4 linked regions of the Arabidopsis thaliana genome follow. The protein of the gene in region 1 interacts with the protein of each later gene in a pairwise test. Each region holds a gene or a part of one and is shown on either strand. Other genes may lie near its edges. The genes, in order: MBD02, AT5G28040, IAA10 and HAT3.1.

Evidence for each region.
Region 2: the proteins of MBD02 (region 1) and AT5G28040 interact in binary tests that used the Arabidopsis thaliana proteins (3 or more experiments, as listed by UniProt).
Region 3: the proteins of MBD02 (region 1) and IAA10 interact in binary tests that used the Arabidopsis thaliana proteins (3 or more experiments, as listed by UniProt).
Region 4: the proteins of MBD02 (region 1) and HAT3.1 interact in binary tests that used the Arabidopsis thaliana proteins (3 or more experiments, as listed by UniProt).

The regions. Positions count from the first base shown.
Region 1 is NC_003076.8:13,522,207-13,527,722, forward strand, and holds MBD02 (methyl-CPG-binding domain protein 02), read right to left. Parts: upstream 3,593-5,516; 5' UTR 3,415-3,592; exon of another isoform or gene 3,070-3,414; 5' UTR 3,065-3,069; coding exon 2,619-3,064; intron 2,514-2,618; coding exon 2,460-2,513; intron 2,042-2,459; coding exon 1,884-2,041; intron 1,680-1,883; coding exon 1,519-1,679; 3' UTR 1,197-1,518; downstream 1-1,196. Other genes in the region: AT5G35320 (DBH-like monooxygenase), read left to right, coding at 1-74, 559-938. UniProt on the Arabidopsis thaliana protein: Probable transcriptional regulator.
Region 2 is NC_003076.8:10,034,364-10,041,087, forward strand, and holds AT5G28040 (DNA-binding storekeeper protein-related transcriptional regulator), read right to left. Parts: upstream 4,639-6,724; 5' UTR 4,575-4,638; coding exon 3,291-4,574; 3' UTR 3,221-3,290; exon of another isoform or gene 2,674-3,220; intron 1,754-2,673; 3' UTR 1,180-1,753; downstream 1-1,179.
Region 3 is NC_003070.9:1,057,293-1,062,434, reverse strand, and holds IAA10 (indoleacetic acid-induced protein 10), read right to left. Parts: upstream 2,966-5,142; 5' UTR 2,706-2,965; coding exon of another isoform or gene 2,627-2,705; coding exon 2,355-2,626; intron 2,153-2,354; coding exon of another isoform or gene 2,112-2,152; coding exon 1,801-2,111; intron 1,704-1,800; coding exon 1,571-1,703; intron 1,479-1,570; coding exon 1,409-1,478; 3' UTR 1,226-1,408; downstream 1-1,225. Other genes in the region: SDD1 (Subtilase family protein), read left to right, coding at 1-978; AT1G04090 (vacuolar sorting-associated protein (DUF946)), read right to left, coding at 3,188-4,800, 5,105-5,142. UniProt on the Arabidopsis thaliana protein: Aux/IAA proteins are short-lived transcriptional factors that function as repressors of early auxin response genes at low auxin concentrations.
Region 4 is NC_003074.8:6,761,518-6,768,750, forward strand, and holds HAT3.1 (Homeodomain-like protein with RING/FYVE/PHD-type zinc finger domain-containing protein), read right to left. Parts: upstream 5,081-7,233; 5' UTR 5,012-5,080; intron 4,963-5,011; exon of another isoform or gene 4,773-4,962; intron 4,629-4,772; 5' UTR 4,533-4,628; coding exon 3,904-4,532; intron 3,783-3,903; coding exon 3,617-3,782; intron 3,510-3,616; coding exon 3,386-3,509; intron 3,295-3,385; coding exon 3,182-3,294; intron 3,099-3,181; coding exon 2,541-3,098; intron 2,457-2,540; coding exon 2,166-2,456; intron 2,070-2,165; coding exon 1,980-2,069; intron 1,889-1,979; coding exon 1,688-1,888; 3' UTR 1,244-1,687; downstream 1-1,243. Other genes in the region: AT3G19508 (complex 1 protein, LYR family protein), read right to left, coding at 861-914, 988-1,179; AT3G19515 (apoptosis inhibitor), read right to left, coding at 5,355-5,442, 5,535-5,656, 5,888-6,847, 6,926-7,172. UniProt on the Arabidopsis thaliana protein: Binds only to large DNA fragments. Recognizes a DNA fragment carrying 8 copies of box7 motif of the light-induced cab-E promoter of Nicotiana plumbaginifolia. Also recognizes the box7m1 motif.

The sequences.
Region 1 (5,516 bases):
TAAGCCTCTTCATTATCATCAGCCTTCTTCTGGAAACGTATTTGTTGATCGACACTTGATTTCTGGGTTTAAGAGTAAGTTTCTTTCAACTTTCATCAATTTGTTCATGTTGTGATTGAAGCAATGGTTCATGATTAGGTATAACGTTGTTGTTGAAGTGTATTAGTGATGATTCTTTTGAACTTTCTTTAGTAATGAGATAAGTTTCAGTCTATGATTGTTAAAGGGCTTGTAAGTTAACTTTAGAAACTACTATGTCACAACAATGTCTTAGCTCAATAAGTTAAGAGTATCTTCTTTATTTTGAGATATCTCCATAAGTTTCAGTAAACAGTGCAGATAATCTAGTTTATATGGTATGAGCTCATATAGTTTTATATGTTGAACAGATTGTCATGTTAACTGGGAAATTATCATAGATATTATGAGGATTTTGCTGTGTCTTAGTGTCAGATTTTGTTCTGGTTCGTTTTGTTTGTTTGCCTTTAACTTGTGATCCAGAATGTTGACTAAATACAGACGGTTGTGTCTAAATTCTGAATGTTAACACTTGTGCAGATAGATTTCTTCGCGATGTATCGATAGCTGATGATAATCAGTATGAAGATGAGAGATTAAACAAGTGTCAAGCTGTTGTTTGCTGGAATCCGTCTCAGTCTACTTACTCACAGTCCATAGGAACCTTCCAACAACCGCGGACACTAGAGATTACTGAGTTGGATGAGACAGGTGAGGATGTGGTAATGGATGATGCATCCAATGAGATAGAAGAGGATACTGGAAGCACCAGTCTATCTTTCCCTCAGCAAGGACAGCAGCAAGAGCAAGAGCACACCTATGGTTTTGGCTTGCATCCGTGGCAGCAAGCGCAAAACTGTATGATTCCGCAGCTTCCTCAAGTCAGTACTACTCCCACTCCCATCACTTGGTTCCGATGATACGGCTTAACCACGGGAAAACTGAATAGGGAATGCACGAAGCAGGATAGTAGAAGGCAGATTTGTTGTTAGTTTTTGTTTCTGCCTTTTGCGCAGATTAGAGATATGGCATAGTTTTGTTGTTGTATGTTTACCAAACTAATAGCTTCAGCCATATCTCCCCTAGGATGGTTTTGACTTTCGAATGTTATCTTTTGGATGTCGTTAAAATATCCTTTGAGATAAACTACGTTCCAACTTAACATGCACATCTACAGTTAAACAGACTCTGATCTATTCTTATCTGCTTTCTTGTGTCAGTCCTCTAGTGGATTTGTGAGATAATGGAATTTGGTAATAATCAAACTTTAGGTTTAAAAACTTTCAGCATGAAAATCCAGTTATTTGGAAGCAAAAACCAAAAGGACCCATCTTCTTCATAGAAAGTATGTTACACTGCAAAACAAAATAGATGGTATACACAAAAAACAAGCTAACCACATGCTTTCAGTTTCTTCGATAAGACAAACCCAAAAAACGAAGAAAGAAGACGGGTTATATACCAGAGAAGACGAGATAAGTTCACTCTCGTCTAGCTAGATTATCTATCAGCAAGTTCGTCGTTGGAGCCAAAGATTGATAGCGTCGATGTTTTTTTCTTTTTCGATGGTTGGTAATGTGAATTGTTAAGTCCAGACTCGGTTGGCGTACCTAGCTGCAACGATATATGATCATCTGGAGATATCCATGCCAGTGGATTAGCTGAAAAATAACAAGACAAGCGAAATGTTAGAAACTTGTAAAAGCATAGACGTTTTCATGTTAATAAAGTTCCCTAAAGACACCAATGTTCGGTTCGAGTATACGTCAAATACACTCTTGACTGAAAAAATGACATCAATAATCTAAAGCCTTGATACAAAAGATAACCACAATTATATTTATGTGCCTTGATAAGCAACACACCTTCTTTAGCTACAGGGGTGTTTGTATTATCGATGGAATCCAGTAGTCGAGCTGGGCGCTTCCTCACGTAGTCATCCTGCAGCGGTTTCGGGATTTGAAACGAGAACTGTGAAAGTTTCACCCCTTCTCCAATGTATTCGGAGTTGTCATTCAAGTACCTGCAAACCAGTAATAGTGGTTATAAGGGTGTAAAGAAGCTAGCTATACGTCACTGAAAACAATTTGGTAATCACTAAACGAATTGGTAAGTCACTAAGCTTTTTTCTCCTACCATTGTTGTCACTCTCAAATGCTGCAGGGAAGTATCATGGAAATAAGGATGATAGTTTAACTAACTTCTTGGCATAGTACATTTTCGTTAGTAAACAAAACACATGCAAGGATTTCTGTAATTTGCATAAGTGCCTAACTCTAGTTATGACCACAGAACAATACTTGAGGTTCCTACTGATTCAATATATTGGTTGACGAAAATGGTAAGACTGATACAGTGAGACCTCATCAAACATAAAAGTAAGGAACACTTTGTTAAATGTGAAAACGAAAATGTGGAAATGGAGTGGTAGAGAAACTAACTTTTGGACCTCCACAGTTGATCGAAGCTTCTTTCCAGACGGAGCAACATAATAACTGAAACAACCAAGATAAAAGAATGATAAAGAAAGCCAATACAATGGTATAAAGAAGAAAGACTAATATTAACATAAATGAGAGAAGAGTTAACGAACGACATACACATCAGCAAATCTGGTACCTCCTTCACCTCTAATCCGCAGTAAACGTTGCCAGCCAGCGGGTGGACGAGAGATATTCGGTTTATCAATAGCCCAAAGACGAGTTCCATCTTGATAGATATCAGCAGGAACATCACAAGAAATATCCGGCTTCCACTCACGCGCTGTATCGCAGAAAAACGGGTTTTCAAGAAGCTGTTCCCTAATCTCTTCATACTTCTGCATTGAAGGCATGAGTCTCCATTTGAAACAACTTGCACACTGAACCGTAAATGCCCCGATAGAGGGACACTGTGTTCTAGATGACAAAGGCTGAGATTGAACCGGTAGAACTTCTTCTTCAGTATCATCATTTCCTTTCAAGTCATAAACCACTAACTGATTCTCACCTCTATCCTCATTAGGTGAAGACGATCTTTGGACAGCTCGAGACTGCGACATACTCATAGAAACTACCTATAATAAATGGTTAGAGAAATGAATGTCAAGTGAAAACAAAAATGACAAATTTAGTTAACAAGAATCATTCATCACAATAACACTAGTCTCTCTATTAACATCATAAGAGAACATGATCAAGAAAACATTGATACGTGTAAAGAACAGTGAACAGTAGAAACCCTCGAACATTTCAATCTCAAAAATCAACAATAATCATAAAACAGAGCAAAGGAAACAACAATTATCATATAATCAAAGAAGAACATGAGCTGATAGAGACGAGATCCAAAAAAAAAACAATTTCATCGAAAAGCCGAAACAAAGATTAAAAATTTATCAAGAAGAAGAATCGTTACACGAAGAGGACGAGAGCAAACCAGGGTTTCAGAGATCGGTGAGCGAAGAAGGCTCTAAAGATCGTTGTGGTTAATTTGAGAATTTCATTTTTTGAGACAGAGCCAATTCAGACAACACTCTTTGTCTAGATAGAAAATGGGGAAACCGAGAAAGAGAAGAGAGAAAGAAACTGAATTTAATTTATTTTGTATAAATATAAAATTTGTTGTTACGAAAATAATTCTTAATTTACATTCACTTCAAAATATATCATGCTATAAGTAGGAGAATATTTGTGCTTTTGGGCTTATAAACAAATCTTACCATTAATCAAAATTTCCTTCAGAAAAAAAGAATCAAAGGATAATTCTTTCTAATATTAGATATGGATTCGTGTTGTGCATGCTAAATAGATGAAATATGTCTAACAAATATTTGCCATTGTTTAACAAATATTTTGAGACTTCCATAATATGTAAATTAAACTTTAATAAAAACAAATATATGTCAATTGTTGATTTTTTTTTTTTGGGTCAAAATATATGTCAATTGTTGATATAAAATATTAGGCCTGCGACTTCGGGTAAACCGAACCGAACCGAGTCGGTTATTTCGGGTTTCGGTTATTTTGGATTTTTGAAAATTCTTCCGAAACTAACCGAAATTTATTACGGTTCGGTTCGATTCGGATATTGGTTTCTTTGGTTTTTAAGTTTAAAACCCGAAAATAACCGATTCTTTTTTTTTTATTTTTTTTTAACATTAACAGATATACTTTATTAGAGGGATGATGTGTAATCCTATGGAGGATTTGTACAAGAAACAGAGGTACATAAGAATGAGAGACAAAAGTAACAATGTTTTCTAACTCCACTTTAGCTAATCGATCAGCTGCTTTGTTAGTTGACCGGAAAGACCATTTGATAATGGCAGTAGAAAACTTCTTCCGCCAATGTTGTATCTCCATGACGAGGTTATGAAGTTCAAAATTCCTTGTGTTCCCATTGAGTAAGCTTTCCACAGTCCTATTATCACCTTCAAATATAATCTTTCGATATCCTCTACTCCATGTATGTTGCATTGCCATCAAGAGAGCCTGTAGTTCCGCTTCTAGCACTGAGTTGCATAGTTGTCTTGTACCTTGAGCCGCAAGTAGATAACTGCCTGTGTCAATTCGTAAAATCCAACCAGCCTTTGGTGCTAGATCATTCCTTGAGAAACTGCAGTCATAATTGCATTTGATAAAGCCGTGAATAGGTTTTTGCTACCCTTGCCCGCTTCTGTCATTTAGACTTCGTCGTTGTGTGTCTCGCTGCAGAGGAATCCACTCATATGAGTCTGTTATCGCTTTTTGTACATCATCTTGCCAATTACTCCCTTTTCGCTGGTAAACTAACAAATTCCTGCTCTTCCATATGTGCCACAACATCCATAAAGGTATTTGTCTTGTGATATGGTCTTGTCTCGTATCAGTACAGCATTGAAGGATTAATCTGAATTTATCTTCAAAAGGTAAGTGTGGATTGAAAAACGCTGTATGTGACACCGGAGAGCCCCTCCAAATAGCTTGAACATAATGGCATCCAAAGAATAGGCGTTCTAATGTTTCAGGAGCTGCACAACATCGTTTACACTGTGAATCTGAAATGATATGTCGTCGTGTCAAGGCCTCGCCTGTCGCCAATGATTGAGTTACTATCCGCCACATGAAGTGCTTTAGTTTTGGTGTCGTGTCTAGCTTCCATACTACTCTCTTAAACTCGGGTAAACCTGGTGGGGGAACATAATCATGTTGTTGATTCGGTAGATGTGTACAGAGCCAATAACTTGATTTGAATGTGTATTCCCCATGCTTTGTGTAGTTCCAGCCTAGTACATCAGGGGACGGTTGTGATCTTAATCTTAACCTTGTATCAATCGTGCTTCATCTGCTTCAAAGAGTTCTTCTATTACTTCTTTATTCCACATGTTTCTGCCATCTTGCATTAGGTGCTTGACTTGTGTATGATTGGTGACCGTCGCATCACGTTTTTGAGGTGGTCTTGGTGGGTGTGTTGGAAGCCATGAATCAGTCCATATGTTTGTCTGTTTGCCATCTTCTATAAGGATTCGAAGTCCTTGC
Region 2 (6,724 bases), 3.5 Mb from region 1:
TCGTATCATTATTGCACAAACATATACGGTCATTTAAAGTACATAGCCATATTTATGCATGTTGAGTACATATTTATGTATGTGCAAGGTGCAAATGGTTTCATGACCAAATATCTTTAATCTTCTACTTAATCACTAGATACCGCGGGTTGATTATTTACGTTATAAATTATATTATTTTTTTAATTCTATATCATCTATATTTAAATAATCATATTATATTTTGAATTTATCATTTTACTTTTTATATCTATTTATTTTTGATATTATATTTGTATTTGTTTGGTTTGATCTTGTTTAATTAAGAAAAACTGTTTATTATACGCACATTATATAGAGAGTGTATTTTTATGGTACGTTATTATGTGTTTGTTATATAGTATTTTTTTGTTAAAAATGAACGTATTTGGCTTAAAATAGTTTTCTTAACTAATACTTATATACATGTTTTTTTTATGATGAGTTATTACGTGCGTTCTTAACTAATATAGATGATATTAAATTAAAAAAGTAATTTAATTTCAAATGGTTTTTACAATATAAAAAAAAAAATTCTAGAGTTCAAATATTATTAATATTATAAAAAATTTATAGATTCTAAATATTATAAATACCAACTTATTAAGAGGTACACTGCGGGTTGATTCTTTTCCATTTATTTTATAATTTATAAATTTATGATTTTGTAAACTATAAAGTATATGATATTTAATAAGATGTAGCTCTTATAGTATTATTCGGCATTTACTATATAGCTAAATATTTATATGAATAAGATGAATGTTATTAAGTTACTATCATAAAGTTCAAAACTAAGTAAGTTTAACTAAATTGTAAGATAACTTAAAGATCGTCCAAACAAAAAATATGGTATAGGATTTAACCCGTGGTGTAAAATAAAATGAAATTTGAAAACTAAATAAAATTATAAACTAAAATTAAAAAAAAGTTCTTTGGGAGAATCTAAAAATAAGAAAGTTCTTTGAGAGATTTGGATATAGAGGATCTTTTTTTTCAATTTCCCTTAATCATAAACTAAAATAAAATAAATTACAAAATTATAGTTTTTTTCTTCCTTTTTTTTGTGCCAAAACATCTAAATAGAAAAGATTCTTTACATCTAAACCCCAAAACCACTAATTAGAGAAACGTTAAAAAAAATTTCCTAAGCAAAAATAGAAAAAAAAAAAAAAAAAAGAAGAAGAAAGGTTTTGTTTCTCTTTCTCTCCGCCGATGGTTGCGCAAGCGGAATCTTCTCTCAGCATTCACCTCGGCGTTTCTCCTTTTTCAGCGTTCACGTCGGCTTAAAAAGTTGCAATACCTAAAAGTTCAAAGAAGAGGGCAACATCTCCATCTTTTCCCATATTGCATCTAGAATGATGGGAGAGAATCTAACGCTTAGGCATAAGGTAAACCTTTTCCAAAGAATTCAAGTAATCAACAGCTCTTTCTCTGTTCACCACAATAAAAGTATGTTCATCGATTTCAATTTTAGACAAACCCTTAAAATTAAAATGAAAATCAAAAGCCAAAATCAATAAACCAAAATAGAGGATAAAAACTCTGTCAATCAAAATGGAGATAAGAATTAAGAATACTCACTTTCCTCACCAAAGCTCAAGCTCATCTTCAGTAATCGCATCTCTAACAACACGCTTATCTCTCGATCAGTCTTAGCACCAGAAAGCATCGTCAAAGCTCCATTAGAAGTGATTAACGAACCTTTCTCATACTCAATAGCTTGCTCATAAAGCTATACAAACAACAAAATCACAAACTCAATCTATTAAATTCGTCACACAAGCACTGATAAATATTCTGTATAGCAAAACATTTCTAGAGCTATGCATAAGAAATACCTTGCTATATGAGAATTCGGAGGGATCATTTAGACTGAGGCAAATTGTGGTTGTGGTAATTGTTCGATATGAGATGGTTATTTATAGTGGATCATTTAGACGTTAGAATGTTCTAGATATTTTAATTTAGGTAATATTCTGATATTCAAATATCTTGAGAATATATGCTTGTTATTAGTTTACAAATCTAAACAAAAAACAATACCCAAGTGTTAATGTGGTTACCTTTTTTGTAGGGAAATTTTGCCAAAAGATATATTAACAATGATTGACGAAAATTAACGAAAAATTGAACTCAAAATTTGAAAAAATATAAATTAGTTATGGAAGATGCTAAAGATTACCATTTTTGTAGGAAAGAAATCGATCACATTTATGTTTTTAGATATGACATTAAAATATTATTACAGTTTTTTCTAGAATTCAAATAGGAAACCATTTGATTTGAAAATAGTTGTTTGTTATAACTACATATACGATTTATATATTTTCAAATCAAAAACTAAATATTGTTTAAATATTTTTAGGCGTAAAGCCAATTAAGAACGGAAATACAGATTTCTCTAGTATATTGTGTGTTTATTTGAGGTAACAGAAATTAGATTTTGTGTTGCAATTGATAAAAGAAGAATAAATTTTGGTAAGATATCATTAGCATTTAAAACTAAAATTATTTTCGAATCAAATAATTGTAGATATGGTTAGTTATGATTGATTTCCGGGTTTTGTTAATTAGGAAATTAGCATAATGAATTTCGTATAGTTTTAGGGATTGATTTGTGCAATTTATGAGGGTAGTAGTTAACAATATCCATGTTTAGGCAAGTAGTTAGTGCAATATCTTAATTGTTTATCAAAAATTTGGTTATTGTCCTAAAGAAAATATTTTGTCTGATTGATTTTGTAGGGACTAACCATACAATATCGAAATTGAAAAAGGATTTTTCGACACAAATCGTCCCCAAAAATGTATATGTAGATATATCAAAGAGTTATAATAATAACTTCAACAGGTAACGAAGAGAAGACATAACACCAAAGATTCTACACTTGACACGTCTTCGGAATACATAGATCAAACTCCAAAAGAATACATGTTAATGTTCATTAATCATTAGATGTATAATATCATATTATATGCATCACACAAAAAAACATTATAAATAGCACAAAAGAGTTTTTTTTTTTTTTTGAACTCTACCAAAAACTATAATTTATCAGCTAAGAACAAAGGTTATTCACTCCTAATCGACAAAATTAAAAAAAGATTCAATCAAGAAAAAAAAATACTAAAACCCTAAAAAAGATTTCATCACCATCAGAAATTTTCATTAAGATTATTACTTTTGCTAATACTATACCTCACCATCATAATCTTTCTTCATCATTTTCTCATAACTTAAAGAACCCATTGTAGTCTTTCCTTATGCATCATCCTCCATTAGGCATTGTCTTTAACTCATTCACCGTGGCTCTAATCTGTTCTTGAACCAATTCTAATCTCCTCGAATACACTTCCAGCTCAAGAATCTGTTGTCTCCTCCACCGTTCGTCCCCTACTCCCTTACCACCAAACCCTAAATTCATCGACGGCATTAGCATCGGACTCAACACACCGAGAGCATGAGCACCACCTCCAGGAAACCCACCCGTTGCAGCCATCATCATACCCGTCGTACTATTCATCATCTCCTTAATCATGGGCGATACACAATTCTTAACCGTCTCTTCAATCAACACTCCAAGATTCCTCCCATCACCAAAATCACAACCAACAGCCACATTCTCGTTAAGATTAACCGCATTCGGTATCACCCCGTCACACGGAGCAAGAACAGGCTTATCCTCGTCGATCTTCCCGATCCTAGACCGTGATCGTTTTCTACTTATCGTCACTTTCTTCTCTAAACCATTCTCCGAATCAACATCGACATTCGCATTACCGATAACAGAGACATTAAAACCCGAGCTACCATTCGCGTTATTTACATGATTAGTTTCTTCTAAATCCATCACATTATTATCTTCAAAACCAATAATTTTCCCAGTTTGATTCCAAATCTTCCTAGAGATATCAAAAGTAGCTTGATCATGAGGACTTTTAAAGAACACTTCTTTACCAGAACTAAACTTACTCATAACATTCCTATACTTCTTCTTCAACCTCCTTAGCTTCTCCACAAGCTGATTCTTATTAAACTCTAACTGTAGCTTAGATTTAATCTGTTCATAAAACGGCGCCGTATCAGGCGGATGAGAGCTGTTACCACGGTGGTTTGTGATGTAATCGAGAAAGCCACGGAGAAGCTCGATCTCGTCTTCGTCAGTCCATAGTCTCTGGAATAAACGTCGTGAATCATCAATCGGTGGTCTCTGATGAACGATTTCAGTCATACGGTGCCATTTCTGATCGGAATCTGATGGAATTGAAGCTACAGGTACGGCGGATCCAGCGGGAAGAGCGACGGTTACGGTTCCTGAGGATGATTTCGTCGCCGGAGCTCTGGAAATCATTGACGGAGAATTCAGATCTTCGTATTCTGGATCGGGATCGGGATCGTGATCGTCGTCTTCGGCTTCGTTTGGTTCGGGTATAACAACATCTTCGTCGGATTCAGTTTCTCCTCCTCCTCTTCCGCCACCGCCACCGCCGCCGTCTTCTTCTAGATCTGGTGATTCAGCGGAGAAATCAGTGTCACGTTGATCCGATGCCATGAGAAAAACGTAGCGAGAGAGAAATTTTTCTGGTAGATCGAATCAGATCCAGAAAGAAGGAATTGGGTTCACGAGGATTGATACGGGTTTGTTTTTTGGGTGGTGGTAGGGTATGGAGAATATTGGAGATGAGTAGGGGTAGTTTCGGGATTTTAAGAGTTGTAATTATGACTAAGGGTGTTGCGGTTGCAGGCAAGTGGTCCAGTGTTTGTTTCTTTTACCCGTGCTTTGTTTGGGTTGTTGCGGTTTTAGTTGAAGCGTGATCATGTGTTTAAAGTCAATGGTCTACCGCAACCGCGGCGAAACAGAAAAGCGTTCGACAAACTTGATTTTGTTATTCTGTGTACTGTTGCGTTTCTTCAACGTCCCATATTAACGGGTGTTGTGATTGGTGACTGTTGTTTATGACGGTTAAGAATGTTTTTAGAGATTATAGAAAAAGCGATTAGAGAAAATGCGATGACATAACAATGAAAAAAGGTGGTTACTTTAAATTGAAAAAAATTGTTATAAGGAAGGAATATAAGAGATTAGATAACATATAAAATTACTTTTACTATTAATAATCTCTTAATAGAACAATACAAATAAAGTTATATTGAAAAAACTAATACAGTATCAAAACAATTGGTAAACTCACAGATTTTTCATGTGGCTTACAATCGGCTTGTTTTAATTTTTAACCGCTCACTTCATTTGTTGTAACACCCAATGGCTATTTTTAGGTATGACTGGTTTAAACGCAGTGGATATTGTATGACTTGCGAGAGTTTGTAAAACGGACGGTTGTGATTTTAAACATTATGAAATATTTTTCAATGATATGGTTAGCTTTTGAAAATTGGTGCATTTACAGAAATTTTATGAATGATTAACCAGCCGGTTTGAACGAAATTAAACCAAATAAATATAATTAATAATTATAGAAAGTATAATTACACCAAATATTTTTTATTATAATAATAAAATGTAACATAATTTAAATATAATTAATAATTAAAATCATATATAACATTCTACATAATTATTCAAAATAAATAAATTTCATAGTTAAATGTTATTACTCCATGCATTTAGTTCATGAAAAAAATATCTTTATACTAATATAAGGAAAGTACCTTTAGAAAATTCACATTGCCTTTTCTAAAGTATTACTAACCAATGCCATTAGAAGTATAATTTCAAAGTCCAAATTAATTCACCTCATTAAGAATAAACAAGTCAAATTACATAAGATCTATTTGTTTTTCTCGCGGGTTAGAGATCTTATACATATGTTATGTTAGAACCATTACTTGACCAAAATCAAGAAACTCTTTACTTGATCAAAATCGCTGGTTACAAATCTTATATATACTGCTTTTTCAAGAAACTCGGCTCTCTAAATCCTTATTGCTTTGAAGTACGCTTTAACCAACTTCCTCATTATGCATTGAAATTTGGCTTGGTGTTGTGGTAAATCTGACTCTCAATCTATGAATTTCTATAGCTATGCTTTAAACTCGATTTTGAATCTCTATAGCTTTGAAGTGGTGGAAAAGAACCAAAAGTATGCTTTTCTTTTTATCGCTCTCTTGATTTTGTTTCAGGGTTTTTTATTATGTTACACATGCTTTATATATATATATATATATATGTTTGGTGTTAATGGCTTCTCATTCTTGACTATGCAAGTTAGTAAATTTCTCCTTATGTCGCTAAATTTTCTATTTCTCTAGGTTTAGATTTAGAATTATAGTTTTGGTGATGACTACTAAACAAATTTGGTGCTTCATAATAGGTAATTATCTCAGCTCTACGTCTTCTCGATGAGGTTTTGCACCAACAAATCGATAATTGTTGGACTATTGGGCTCTCTAACCAATTCACATGAGTAGGAAGAACTTTGGGATATATTGTTAATAATGAATCCTTATGAATCTAGTACCTATTCAATGGAGTTAACAAGGACCACTTTACTCCAAAAGGAGCCATAGATAACCTCCTTAGCGCGAAATCATTTTGGTTAATGAAAGGACTATTCTGGAGAGACTTTGTTCTCTACCTTACAAACTTGGTGTTGCAAATGAAGTTGTAGAGTTATATTAATGTATAGTTATTGCTTTTATTTGGAGTGTTTTAGAAATGAATTCATATTTGTTTTTTAATTT
Region 3 (5,142 bases), on another chromosome or scaffold:
GTTCATCTCTTACCAGCTACATTGATTGGTTACACTGAGTCAGTCCTTCTGAAGGCTTATGTTAATGCCACGGTGAAACCAAAGGCGCGGATAATTTTTGGTGGTACGGTGATTGGGAGGTCACGAGCACCGGAGGTGGCTCAGTTTTCAGCTCGAGGACCGAGTTTAGCCAATCCTTCGATACTAAAACCGGATATGATTGCTCCGGGAGTCAATATCATTGCGGCTTGGCCTCAAAATCTAGGACCAACCGGACTTCCTTATGATTCAAGAAGAGTTAACTTCACTGTAATGTCAGGAACTTCAATGTCTTGTCCACATGTTAGCGGAATCACTGCTCTTATCCGGTCTGCATACCCGAACTGGTCTCCAGCTGCAATCAAATCCGCATTGATGACAACAGCGGATTTGTACGATCGTCAAGGGAAAGCGATAAAGGATGGTAACAAACCAGCCGGTGTGTTTGCGATTGGAGCAGGGCATGTGAATCCGCAAAAGGCGATAAACCCGGGATTGGTTTACAACATTCAACCAGTGGATTACATAACTTACCTCTGCACTCTTGGATTCACAAGATCAGATATTTTAGCAATCACTCATAAGAACGTGAGCTGCAATGGAATATTGCGGAAAAACCCGGGTTTTAGTCTCAATTACCCGTCGATAGCCGTGATTTTCAAACGTGGCAAGACTACGGAGATGATCACAAGGCGTGTCACTAACGTTGGGAGTCCTAACTCGATATACTCAGTGAATGTCAAGGCTCCAGAGGGGATCAAAGTTATTGTCAATCCTAAGAGACTTGTGTTCAAACACGTGGATCAGACGCTGAGCTATAGAGTATGGTTTGTATTGAAGAAGAAAAACAGAGGAGGGAAGGTGGCTAGCTTTGCACAAGGGCAGTTGACTTGGGTCAACTCTCATAATCTGATGCAGCGAGTTAGAAGTCCAATCTCTGTAACCTTGAAGACTAACTGAGCCAATGAAGGAAAACGTTTTTCATTCTGTTTCAAGACTGTGTTAGGTTTATTAGGTTTTTATGCTAAGAAAACCTCGTGAAGCTGATTGATTGTTGTTATTGTACGCACAAGAGCTGTATTTCATTTTCCAGGGAATGAAACTACTGGTGATTCTATCATATTACTGTAGCTTGATTTCATCACTAAACCCTAATCCAGATGCATGCCTTTGTTGTTATAGTGGTATATTGGATCAGGCACCAATAGAGTGAAAAACCCTAAATATACAAAGATCTTTAAAGACAAGGTTAAGCTGTTGTTTGATATTCACAAACGACCACAAGACATATGTACACTCATGTATAAACATATGCACATGTATATATGTGAATGTGATATATGAGTTACAGACCAAAGAGATGTAAACTGTTTTTGCTATATAGGACTCTCTACTTACCTACTCCAGCTCCAATTGATGTCTTCATGATTCTCAGTCTTGTCACAGACCCGAGGAACATCCTGAGAAGATGAAAAGATCGTTTTCATTGAAATGGATGTGCCACATTACAAATACAGATGATGAATGGGAAGTTATAAGGGTAGTCACTTACTGCCAAGGAACATCTCCTACAAGCATCCAATCTCCGTCTTTATCTTGATATGTTATGATATATTCCGATGAGCCATCCAGTAATTTCGAAGTACATGTTTCCTTAATTGTCTTGTATCCTTGTGTGTTGGATCCTACAAATCGATCAATCAAAACCAGTCAATTTCAAGAGACACAGAATTTGAAAAACAGAATCACATGGAATCTCATGAAACAGAATTAGTAACTGACTTGTTACAGGAGAAGGAATCTGGAAAAACATTAGATCCAAAGTTTTCTCTAAGGCTGCATAAGAATCCAGAGCATTGAGATCAACCTTCCTTCCAATTATAACTCCGTCCATTGTCACCTTCACAAGCATAGAAGTCCTGGACGATTTGATAAAGCAAGCATCATCGTTCTTAGCAGCAACCACTACACTTTTTGTAGTCTCCTTTTGAATGCCAGAACTCAAGCCGCCTTCCGTAGCTAAAGACTTTGCTTGATTGACCAAACTGTTGATTCTGTAAGTCCGTAGAGGCGGCCAACCTACAGCAACTTGTCTGCTCCATTACCAAAAGATATTAAATCAAAAGACGAACAAGTATAAACCAATATGATTCAAAAGTTTAACTAAACATTTCAGGGAACACTCTATTTGATTCAATCCTGTGATTCATTCATTCTCAAAGTTTAAGGTCTAAAAGCTCTATCCTCTAAGTTGCTTTGATTCTGTAACAATAAGCAATCTGAGACCAATCATTCATATAGGTTATAATATAAAGTCTCGAAGATGAATTTTTTACCTGGTTGCGTTTGAGGCGGCAGCCGGAGAAGAATCAGCAGAGCGTTTGGTCCCACTTTCCCTGGTCAGAGAAGAAGACGAGGAAGACAAAGACGATCGAACCTTCCGACGACCAATGCTAAGACCCAAAGCTAGGTCGAGCTCTGTCTCTGACACTGACTCGTCGGGGCAAGATGAATCCTCCGACGAATGTGCGGCGTTTTCGTCTTCTTCAGCTGGTAGTCCGATCATCACCGACCCACTTGACGAACAAACTTCTTGCAAACCATTCATTATCCCAAATTGCCAAACGAATACACAAAGCAAGAACACTAAAACCCTTGATTCAAATCCAATTATCGATCAAGTTTGAAGAAACCCATTAACCAAGCAAACCAAAAAAAAGGTTTCAACTTTCAACACCTCTACGATTCTGAATTTCGAGACAGAAAAAAAAAAAAAACTTGAGGTCACGCACGGATCCACAGAACTGAAATTGAGAACTAAACGAGGTTTTAATCTTGATTCGAGGGCGACTTCGATTCTCGGATCAAAAACAAGGAATTTTTCTTAAAGAGAGAGAGAATGAAATTGGAGGAACGAAAAATCGGAAACGGTACACGAATGTGTGCGTTGCGTTTGGTGGAGGTTTGTTCGTCTATATAACTTTATTATTTTAATTAAATACATGATGGGACCCACTTGTATACACTTCTAACGACAAGTTTTACGTTAATCCTACGCTAATTGTGTAATTAATCTCTTGCGCAATCAAAGCTTCATCTTCCTTTACAAGTTACACAGTTAGGGCTCCGATGGTAATCTCACCACATCTGTTTCCCAACAGTGAGAATTTCAACATCTTTCATCGCCATACCAATTGTTCTTCTCCTTTGGTCCTGTAGGACCTTCCTCGCCGGATAATTCCACCGGAAGTTTTCTAAGCACTGTGGCAAGCGAAACCCTAACCGTCCTCGGAAATCGATTCACCAATCTCTCTATCTCCTCTCTTGAATCGTACACAACCTTTGGTCCCCATTCTCTCATGTACTGCAACCACGGCGGTTCTGCCAACACACTGTTTCCGCTGAGATACTCCGCTGCAATGATCTCGTACCGTGAGCTCGAATCTACCAAGAGTTCACTACGCGCAGTGTCATTTCTTATCCCAATCCCAAGCATTGTCGATCCCTGTAAGTAAGTCCCAGCCCTAGGAAAGCTTGCGTGACCATGTTTTGAAGAGTAAACAACGGCTTTGTTGCTTCCGGGAATGATTTCAAGGTCGTATGCTTCGATCCACTCGCCGCCACTGTGTTGAGACAAGTAGATTGAGTAAAGCTCACCAGAGAAATTGCTGATTCGGAGAGTGAAATGTTCCCAATCGCAGACGTGTTGGCCAATACTGATCAATGAGATATCGACGAGTCCTAGTTTTAAGGTTGCTGGTCCGTTAAATGGACAGAAGATCCAGAAGACAAGATCCGTGAACGTTCCTCCAAGAGCAGGCTTAATATGAATGTAAAGTTTCGAGCTTTCAAGGTTTCCTCGCTTGACGAAATCTCTTTGTTGATCATCACACGGCAAATCAATCCAAAACTGCTTGTCATTGCTTCCTCCTTGAGGCAAATTCGAACCATTTTCATCGATAGGTTCCTCGATTGGATTTCCCTTTTCGCAGAGAACTGCACCATTTTTGAAGAACCACGAAACAGAAGAAGGTAAGTAAGTTTCACCAGGATGGAAGACTAGTGTAGGACCATAGTGTTGAATCAAAGCTTGAATCTGATCAACATTTGGCATCGCATGTAAACTCAAATCTAGATTCTTTAGACAAGCAATACCGATACCAAGATCTTCTCTAGCAGCAACAAGCCGAGTTCTGCAGAAGAAAGTACCTGCAGAGACACCTTTGCCCCACATTCCTCGGTCTGAAGGCCGAGTTCTCCATATAAACAAAGGAACACCTAAAGATTCTGAAACAGCAGTGACAATGACATTGTGGGGTTCACATATATCAGTAAGATCAGCTCTAACACATCTAACTTCATTCAACTCAGGTTTCACGGAAGTCTTTGTAACCACAAAACCGATCGATCTATACCCTTCAGGAGGCTGCGGTAACCAGAAGTAACCGCATTCGCTCTTACTACTACATTCATTTTCTGCTGAATCATTTGAGCTCCAGACAAGAGTAAAATCAACAGGTTCCACTAATGCAGGTTTCTCTACCTGTTCTAATGAATCCACTAAATCTCTTGCCGCAAGTACATAACCTCTCAAAGGATGAGAATCAGACTGACAGTAGTGACCTAAGCAATGGAAGTCTTTAGGTAACAATCCCTTTGGTTTGTAAAATGAAATGTTCTTCTTCTTCTCTGTGGATCTGTATCTCCATATAAATTCAAAATCCGTGATTTTGATGACTTGTAATTTGCCGAGATTGATTGTTCCAGAGCCAAAGCCTTGACCTGATCAGTTTTCAAAGGATGGAGAGACAAAATCTAAGAGACCCAGCTGAAAAATTTCTTCAAAACGCAATCTTTAAAGAATCCTCTTTGAAAACGCAAAAGATTTGATTGACCATTGTTCGAATTAGATTAGTGGATATAGAGATCTGATTGAAAAACCCAATTGAATTTCACGAAATTGAGGAAAATCGAGAAATAAAAATCTCTCTTTTGTCAAGGCTTAAGAAACCTAAAATTGAAATAGAATTTTTGAATTCGAAATCGTTGACAAGAGAAGTCGGGAATTGAATGGAATTGGAGTTACCTGGAGGCCAATGGGGAATGGAAGAAGGAAGAGAGAAG
Region 4 (7,233 bases), on another chromosome or scaffold:
GAGTGTCACACACGTATTCAATATCGAACTAGTACTCATTATTCATTTATTCAATAAAACCATTATTACCAAACCATACAAATATTTTTTAGATTACCACTATCATGTTTATCATATAGTTATGAACATACAGTCACATGAAACTACAACTACTAAATTAAACTAAATTTTTACTAACTGACATGTACCAGGTTTGACACGTGCAAAGACTCTGCAAACACGTGTGTGGTAAGAAGAAAGTGAACTCCACAAGTTGGCAAACCACTAAAATAAATCCATAAGAGGAAAGGTCAAAAAAAAATCATAAAGATTATTAAGTAGTCCAACTTTTCTCTCTAGCTTCTACTTTTAACTCCAGAAGCAAAAACAATCTCAAAAAGACTTTGGTTTTGGTTAGGTTGGTTTCATATAAGATTTTCGAGTTTTCGACAAGGACCTAAACTCTTAGCTACTGTTTATTGTCCCTTAGCTACATATATATCACTTTAATTACCCAAACAATCCCTAATCTTTCTCTCTCGTTATTACTTAACTGCCACTTCTACTTTGCTCTGATGAGTTTCTTTCATTACCAAAGATGAGATTAAGTAATGTGATGTTTTCGAATCTAAGAATGTAACAATTTTATTCAGGATCATGGAAACAAACAAGAAGCTAGCTACTCAAACAAGACAACGACCAATTCAGCAGTCAATCACAGAAAGTCAAGACAACTAAAAAGGAAAGACAAAGACACATGAACAACCCCTGTTCTTGATATAGCTATCAAAAGTAGAAAACTGATGGTACCCATTTAACAAATCGTCCAAACTTGTTCCAACACTCTCAGGGACATAACGTCGAACACTTGGTGTGCGTTATTATTCAAAACAAATCTCTTTCAACTTCGTCGCTGCTGATTCGTCAATTGAGTACTGCAAATGATTGAGAACAGACAGTTAACACAAAGGGTACCTAGATTTAAAAGAAACCCAGAATCTTTGTTACCTTCTTGAGTACCCAAAGTGAGTGATTATAGGCTCGCTGGAAGAGTTCGTCGAGGGATGTTTCGCTTTGATCGACTTCACGGTAATTAACGAAATTCTCCCTGGCGTACTTGGCGTAATACGGCCTTGAATCCGCCGGCAAAAGTCTCACCAGCCTCATAACGCCGCCGTATACTCTCAGCACCTTCTTCATTTTCGTTTACCTTCTGCAACACGTTACCCAATTCTAGGACTCTAATACTGTATCATAAACATCCATGGGCTCTTAATGGGCCTTTAATAATAAGCAATTACAGACCGGTTAAACGTTCACATTTGAGGGTTTAAAACCGGTTCAAACAAGACTTTTAAAGTTTAAATCTCTTGATCTCTTAAACCGGTCTCTATCGATTACAGAAACCATAACTCAAAACATCTCTCCAGATGGAAATAAACAAAAACTTTCATAATCATAACACAAAGCCTTAACTTCTTTAACTGTTAAAAATGAACCTATCATCCAATTTCGAAGAAAATCTTTCTTTCTTTCTTTTGCCTCAAATTTCAAGGTCTTCAAAGTACCCCAAAAATGTGAAACAAAGAACTGAACAAACCCGATGCTTTGCAGGGTTTGGTGTCTTCATATCTCGGGGTTTGGGTAAGTATGTGTTCCAGTATTGTCCTTGCATTAGATCTAAAACCTTCATGATTGAATCTAAAGTCTACTTTCTTCTTCTTTTCCGTGATCCAGTATTGGTTGGTTTCTCTGCAACTGACTCGGTTTCCATAGTTTGTTTGCTACTTCCAGCAACAGATGTCTCACATTCACCTTCCTTGCCTGTTTTTAACTTCTCGACATTTTCCTCTGAAACTAAAGGTTTGCTGTTTATCGACCAACGCCTATGCTTAAACCAGTTATTAACCTACAGAACATAATCAGTTCTTAGCAGAGATGAAACTAGGTCGACTAAAAGGGAGAACTAAACAAACAATTTACTAGGAGAAACTTCTTACTTGCTTAACTGTCATTTGTAGCTCTTTGGCTAAGCTCTCCTTCGTGGCTTTGTCTGGATATTGATTCTCTTGAAAAGATATGTACAGTCTCTGCATAAAAGAGGGATCCTTTCAATCCATTGCTCCCTCCCTCATAATAATGTAAGATTGGCACCTTAAAGCCTCAAGACAGCTATATCTTTTTACCTGAGTTTTGGGATCTGTCTGTTTACATGCTGAAGAGCTGCTTTTTTCAATTTCACCAGAACCACCATTTTCTCCAGGACCTTCTTGTGGCATTTCTAAGGTATCCTTTTTATCTGCCCTTTTCGACTTCCGTATAAGTTTCTTAGAAGTATGATCTTCTGCATTTGAAGACTGTTTCAGAGGTACAGTGTCCCCTTCATCTTCCGACTCGGAATCTTCTTTTCCCATTCTTGCAGTTTTATCCCAATCGTCATCATCACTTGACGAAGTCGGAACATTGTCATATTCCTCCTGCACATAGAAGAAAAATACCATTCAGAGGTTTTTCCAAAGCCAGATAGAAATCGATTATCAAGAAAAAGAGAGATCACTCACATCATACAACTTTTTGTAATCCAGCCTTTCAACATTCCTCCTTCTGGATACACCGGCAGGACCATCATCAAGCCCAACATCTGACTCTAAAATTGCATCACCTTGGAGCTGAGACGTCTGTCTGCCAGGATCCTCAAGTGGTGTATCTTCAGCTTGCTGATTAGTCTCATCTCCTTTGAAGGAAGTTTCAAGATCTTCAGTGTCTGATGTACAATCAGAATTTGAACTTTCTTTATCATCATCACAAGTCGGGGCATCAGGATCATAGTCATCATCCTCAGAATCATCAGATGGAAGGGCCATTACATCTTTCATTATATCTTTCCCTTCTTTAAATGACTCAATCATTTCGTCAGATGCAGATGTGAATTCAGTTTCATCAGAACTACCATCTTCGTTCTCAGATTCTTCATTGTCATCACTGCCATCTTCATCATTTTCATTATCATTCAAACAATCTGGATCATACTCTTCATCATCAGAATCATCTGAAGGAAGATCACAGTCAAGATTTTGACCTCCACCAACCAGCGCTGCTGCTGCCTCAGGAAATATTTTCTACACAAAAGTTCAAGGCAGGTGTGTTTTTAAGTGTTTTCTCCTCTTTAACAATAAAAACCTCAACATATATAGTTATATACCTCCCAACTGTCGCTGACCGAAAATTTTGTCCCTAAAGAATCATTAAGCAAGTCCAAGCTGTCATCTTTGCAATCACATCCGGGGCATAGCCAACCCTCATCATCCGGAGGAACTACAAAAATTAAAACCAACAAAAAAGACAGCTGTAGATACCAGCAAGAACTGCTTAAAACACTACCAAGTACGTAGGCAGAGAATATTACTATCTTCTTTCCGCAGAGGTGGTTCAAGACAGTATTGGTGAAAGCCTCGATCGCAAAACCCATCGCATAGTATGATATCATTATCAACAGACAAGTCCTTTGAACCACATTTTGCACAGAAGATCTGCGATTAAACAACTGCTCGTATTATCAATACTTCTAGAGACACAAACTGGTTCTATCAGGATAAACAAGGGAACAAAGGTTGAGTTCAGAACAATATTCTCTTACATCCTCGCTAGAAATCTCTCCATCAGTATCAAATAAAGACTCTGGAAGGCTTCCTTCAGCACAGAGTGTGTCAAGGTGCTGAAAAAGATCTCTAATTTTAAGCTTGCGCCGCAAAATTTCCTTTGTGGCTCGTTCAAGCTCTTTCTCTGGCCTTATCTTTTCCAGGCTACAAAGAACACATAATCAACAAGACTGAGTGAGATCAGAAATATATCTCACAGAGGATACCTATAACTCTCAAATAATGCATGAATAAGAGGGAAAACAAATGTCATCAAGAGACAAACCTTGAACCTTTCCAGCCTTCTAACGAATAGGCGTCAATTAGGCTTTGCTCATAGTTAATCCGGTTTAGAAAGTATCGAAGTTTCTTTTTGATTCTTGTGTACTCATCATCTTCTCTAACTTGTCCTTTGTTCATAGTCTTATTCTTTTTCTTTGGTCGACCTACAGGTGTGGAATTAGCAACAACCGAAGATGGTCCAGCATCTTCCTTAGATCTCTGAGCTCTCTTGTGACTTGCAAACAACACATTCCTTTCTCCACCTCCTCCTAACCTCTTCGAACTCGTAGATGCCCTGGACCGGTTGTGGATTTCAAATTGTCCACGGCAAGGAAGACCGATGACAAGCTCACGATGAGACCCTGAAAATTTGGTATTGGTATTAGAATCCTTCTTCACGGTTTGAGGGGTTGGTTTCTGTTCTTCATTCCCCTTTCCATGATCCATAATCTCATGATGCAAATGTCCATTTCCGTTTGCATCAGTTGGCATGTGACTCCCTGCCTCTGATGATTTGCCTTGTTCAGATACTCTGTCAACAGTTGGACTAATCTCTCCTCCATTATCTACATTTGTCTGCTTCAAACCAGATCCACTACTTCTAGTTACCCGCTTACTTACTGCTTTATACATTCTCTACAATCAACTAGCTATGTTTATACTGCTATCCTCGAAGATGATGCACTCAGGCGTTTCTAAATCAGCAAAGGTTTAAATACTTGTAGATTCCTATATAATCAAACAAAGAAGCAAAACACACGTATATCAGATCAGAATCAATATGAGCAAACACAAGAGAAAAACCCACAAAAGAAAAATGGGAGCTTGGTAAATATTTCTGCGATTGCTTCGTCTAGTTCCTAAGCTACTTACGTGCTTGACAGAGATCTTAAACAAGAACATCAGACAAAAAACACAGATCGACCCTTGATATGGTTTTCGATGAGCACAAGAGAAGAAAAAACGCGATAAAGTAATCTTAGCTATAACGAGGTTAGATTTGGGTATTGCTAAGCTGAGTATTGAATTTTCTAAATTTCTACGAGATAAGAAAACAACCCAGACACTAAATGTTAAGCTTTTTCGATCTCTCTATCCGCCAAAAATTTTACCTTTTTCCCTCGCCCGCGAAATGTCCCGCGAGAATTGAGAAGAAACTCGGTGGGTGAGTTGAGAAGAAGAAGAAAAAAAGAAGAGAGAGCCTTGCAAGGTCGCTCAGAAGACAAAGGGAACGGAGAAACGGCGTAATTTGGGCTTCATTATGCATTATATTCTTAATGGGTCTACTTATGAGGCCCATTTGCATATCAATGTCTTGGTATTGTTGTTTTGTTTCTCTCTTTTTCGTCCCGTGACATGTTAAGGAGCCTTAAAAAGCCAACAAAAACTTGTACCTGGCTAATAGACAAAAGAAATACTCTTGTTTTACTAAAATAGGCCATGAAAGTGATTCCCTCAAATCCCATGTGCACAACCTGATGACTCTGTACGGGCCTTCTTTGTACCCACATCATTACCGGCTTCATTTGCAGGCCGTTTTCCTCTGTCGTAGCAAAAAGGAAACATACAACCATGAATCACAAGTCACAAACATTCAAAAGACTCACATTCAACTTTGGATCCAAATCAGCTTACCTTTCAACAATTTCTACAGGTTCGTGCATTCTTTCTTGAGGACCTTTCTCTCCAAATTTACTCAAACTTGTCAAACCTTCCGTAACCATCTTGATTTCTTCTCCACTTACATTGCCCAAGCTCTGGAATCATTGAAAAAATGTCAGAAAACGGCTAAAATAAGAAGAACACGATAATGGAAAGAACAATATCACACAACCAAGAAACTATTGTGCAGAATCAGGTATTTATCCTGTTGGAAAATATGAAAAAAATTGGCCCTGAGTCCCGATTCCGTTCAAATTCATGTGCCACACCAAAATAGTTGGTTTGAGTAAAACAGGAGATATACACAGGTATTCACGTCTCTGTACCTTGTCAGAATCAGGCATGATGTGCTCGTTCAAGGAGTTATGAAACTTGCTAGCACCAAAGTCAGGATATTGCATCTCTTCGGACTTCTCTTTCGGGTTATGTTCTGGATTCCCTTTCTGGTTATCTTCTGGATTCTCCTCTTCGCTTTCAGTTTCTTTCTCTCTCTCTCTTTCTTTCTCTTTCTCATTCTCATCTATATCTATGATGATGAATTCAGAGAGAAGATGCATCGGCTTAGAAGTAGCCCGAACATGTTCTTTTTTTTTAGGACTGGCACCCACAACCATGTATGTTGTCGCTAGAGAAACCCTAACATATCCTTCGTCACAAACTTTAGTACCATTGCTCATCTTACAGATGGCCACCACTTCTCCTTTATAGATCTCAATACTGGATACTATCACTGCATGATATGAGCGGAAACCTCTGGAATTTGTTCCGGGACCATAATAAATCTCCTCTCCTACGGTCCACAATTCCTTAAAAACAACTAAGTCCGCTCCTATGGGAAAATGTGGAAGCAATAGCAACGCCTCCTCCATTGATTCAATTTTTCGAACACTCTTTAATTTTGTCGTGTGCATATGTGGGTCGTCAGCATTTGGAGGCTGCCAGTCCTTACAGTCAAACTTCTTGCAGATCTCTCTAGGAATGCCATGCTGTTTGATGTATAGTAGGCAATCCTCTATATCATTTCCATAACAGTAATGCCCTTTCTCAGGATTTTCATCATCTTCTTTCTCAGGATTTTCATCTTCTCCAAGATACTCTGGTCGACAAAAGGAGCAAAGATACCATGGACACAGAGGAATATACTCTACCTCCCAGTTGCGCATAATTCTAGTAGCACTGACTAAGTCAGAGGCTGCATAAGCCCAACAAATGAGGTGAAAGAGTTGGTCTCTAATAAAACCTAGGAATTTCTTCCATGACTTGGACGTCACCAATTTTAATAATGTCTACAACAAAAACAAAAAAGTAAATCTTGATAATTTCTTAAAAGGTAATAAGTAGATGGTTATTATATAGAATATTACCGATTCTCGTATCCTCCAAAAGAGACAAGGTACTTTTGGATTTTCATGTAAGAAAATCCTACTTTCTGGTAACGTGTCTTGTGCTTGTTTAAGTCCTGATGAACCCACAAGTGCTTGAACCTGATCATCTTCTAATTCGCACATTCCCTCCATATCTAGTTTATTCAGCAAGTCTTCTGAGAGTTTGTCCATAAAATTATGAAACGCATCAATATCCGGGGGTATGCCATACATTAGGTCTGTATATCTGAGAAACCAAAAATCAGAAAAGAAGATGAGCCATGATAAGCATTTTATCATATTTGGGA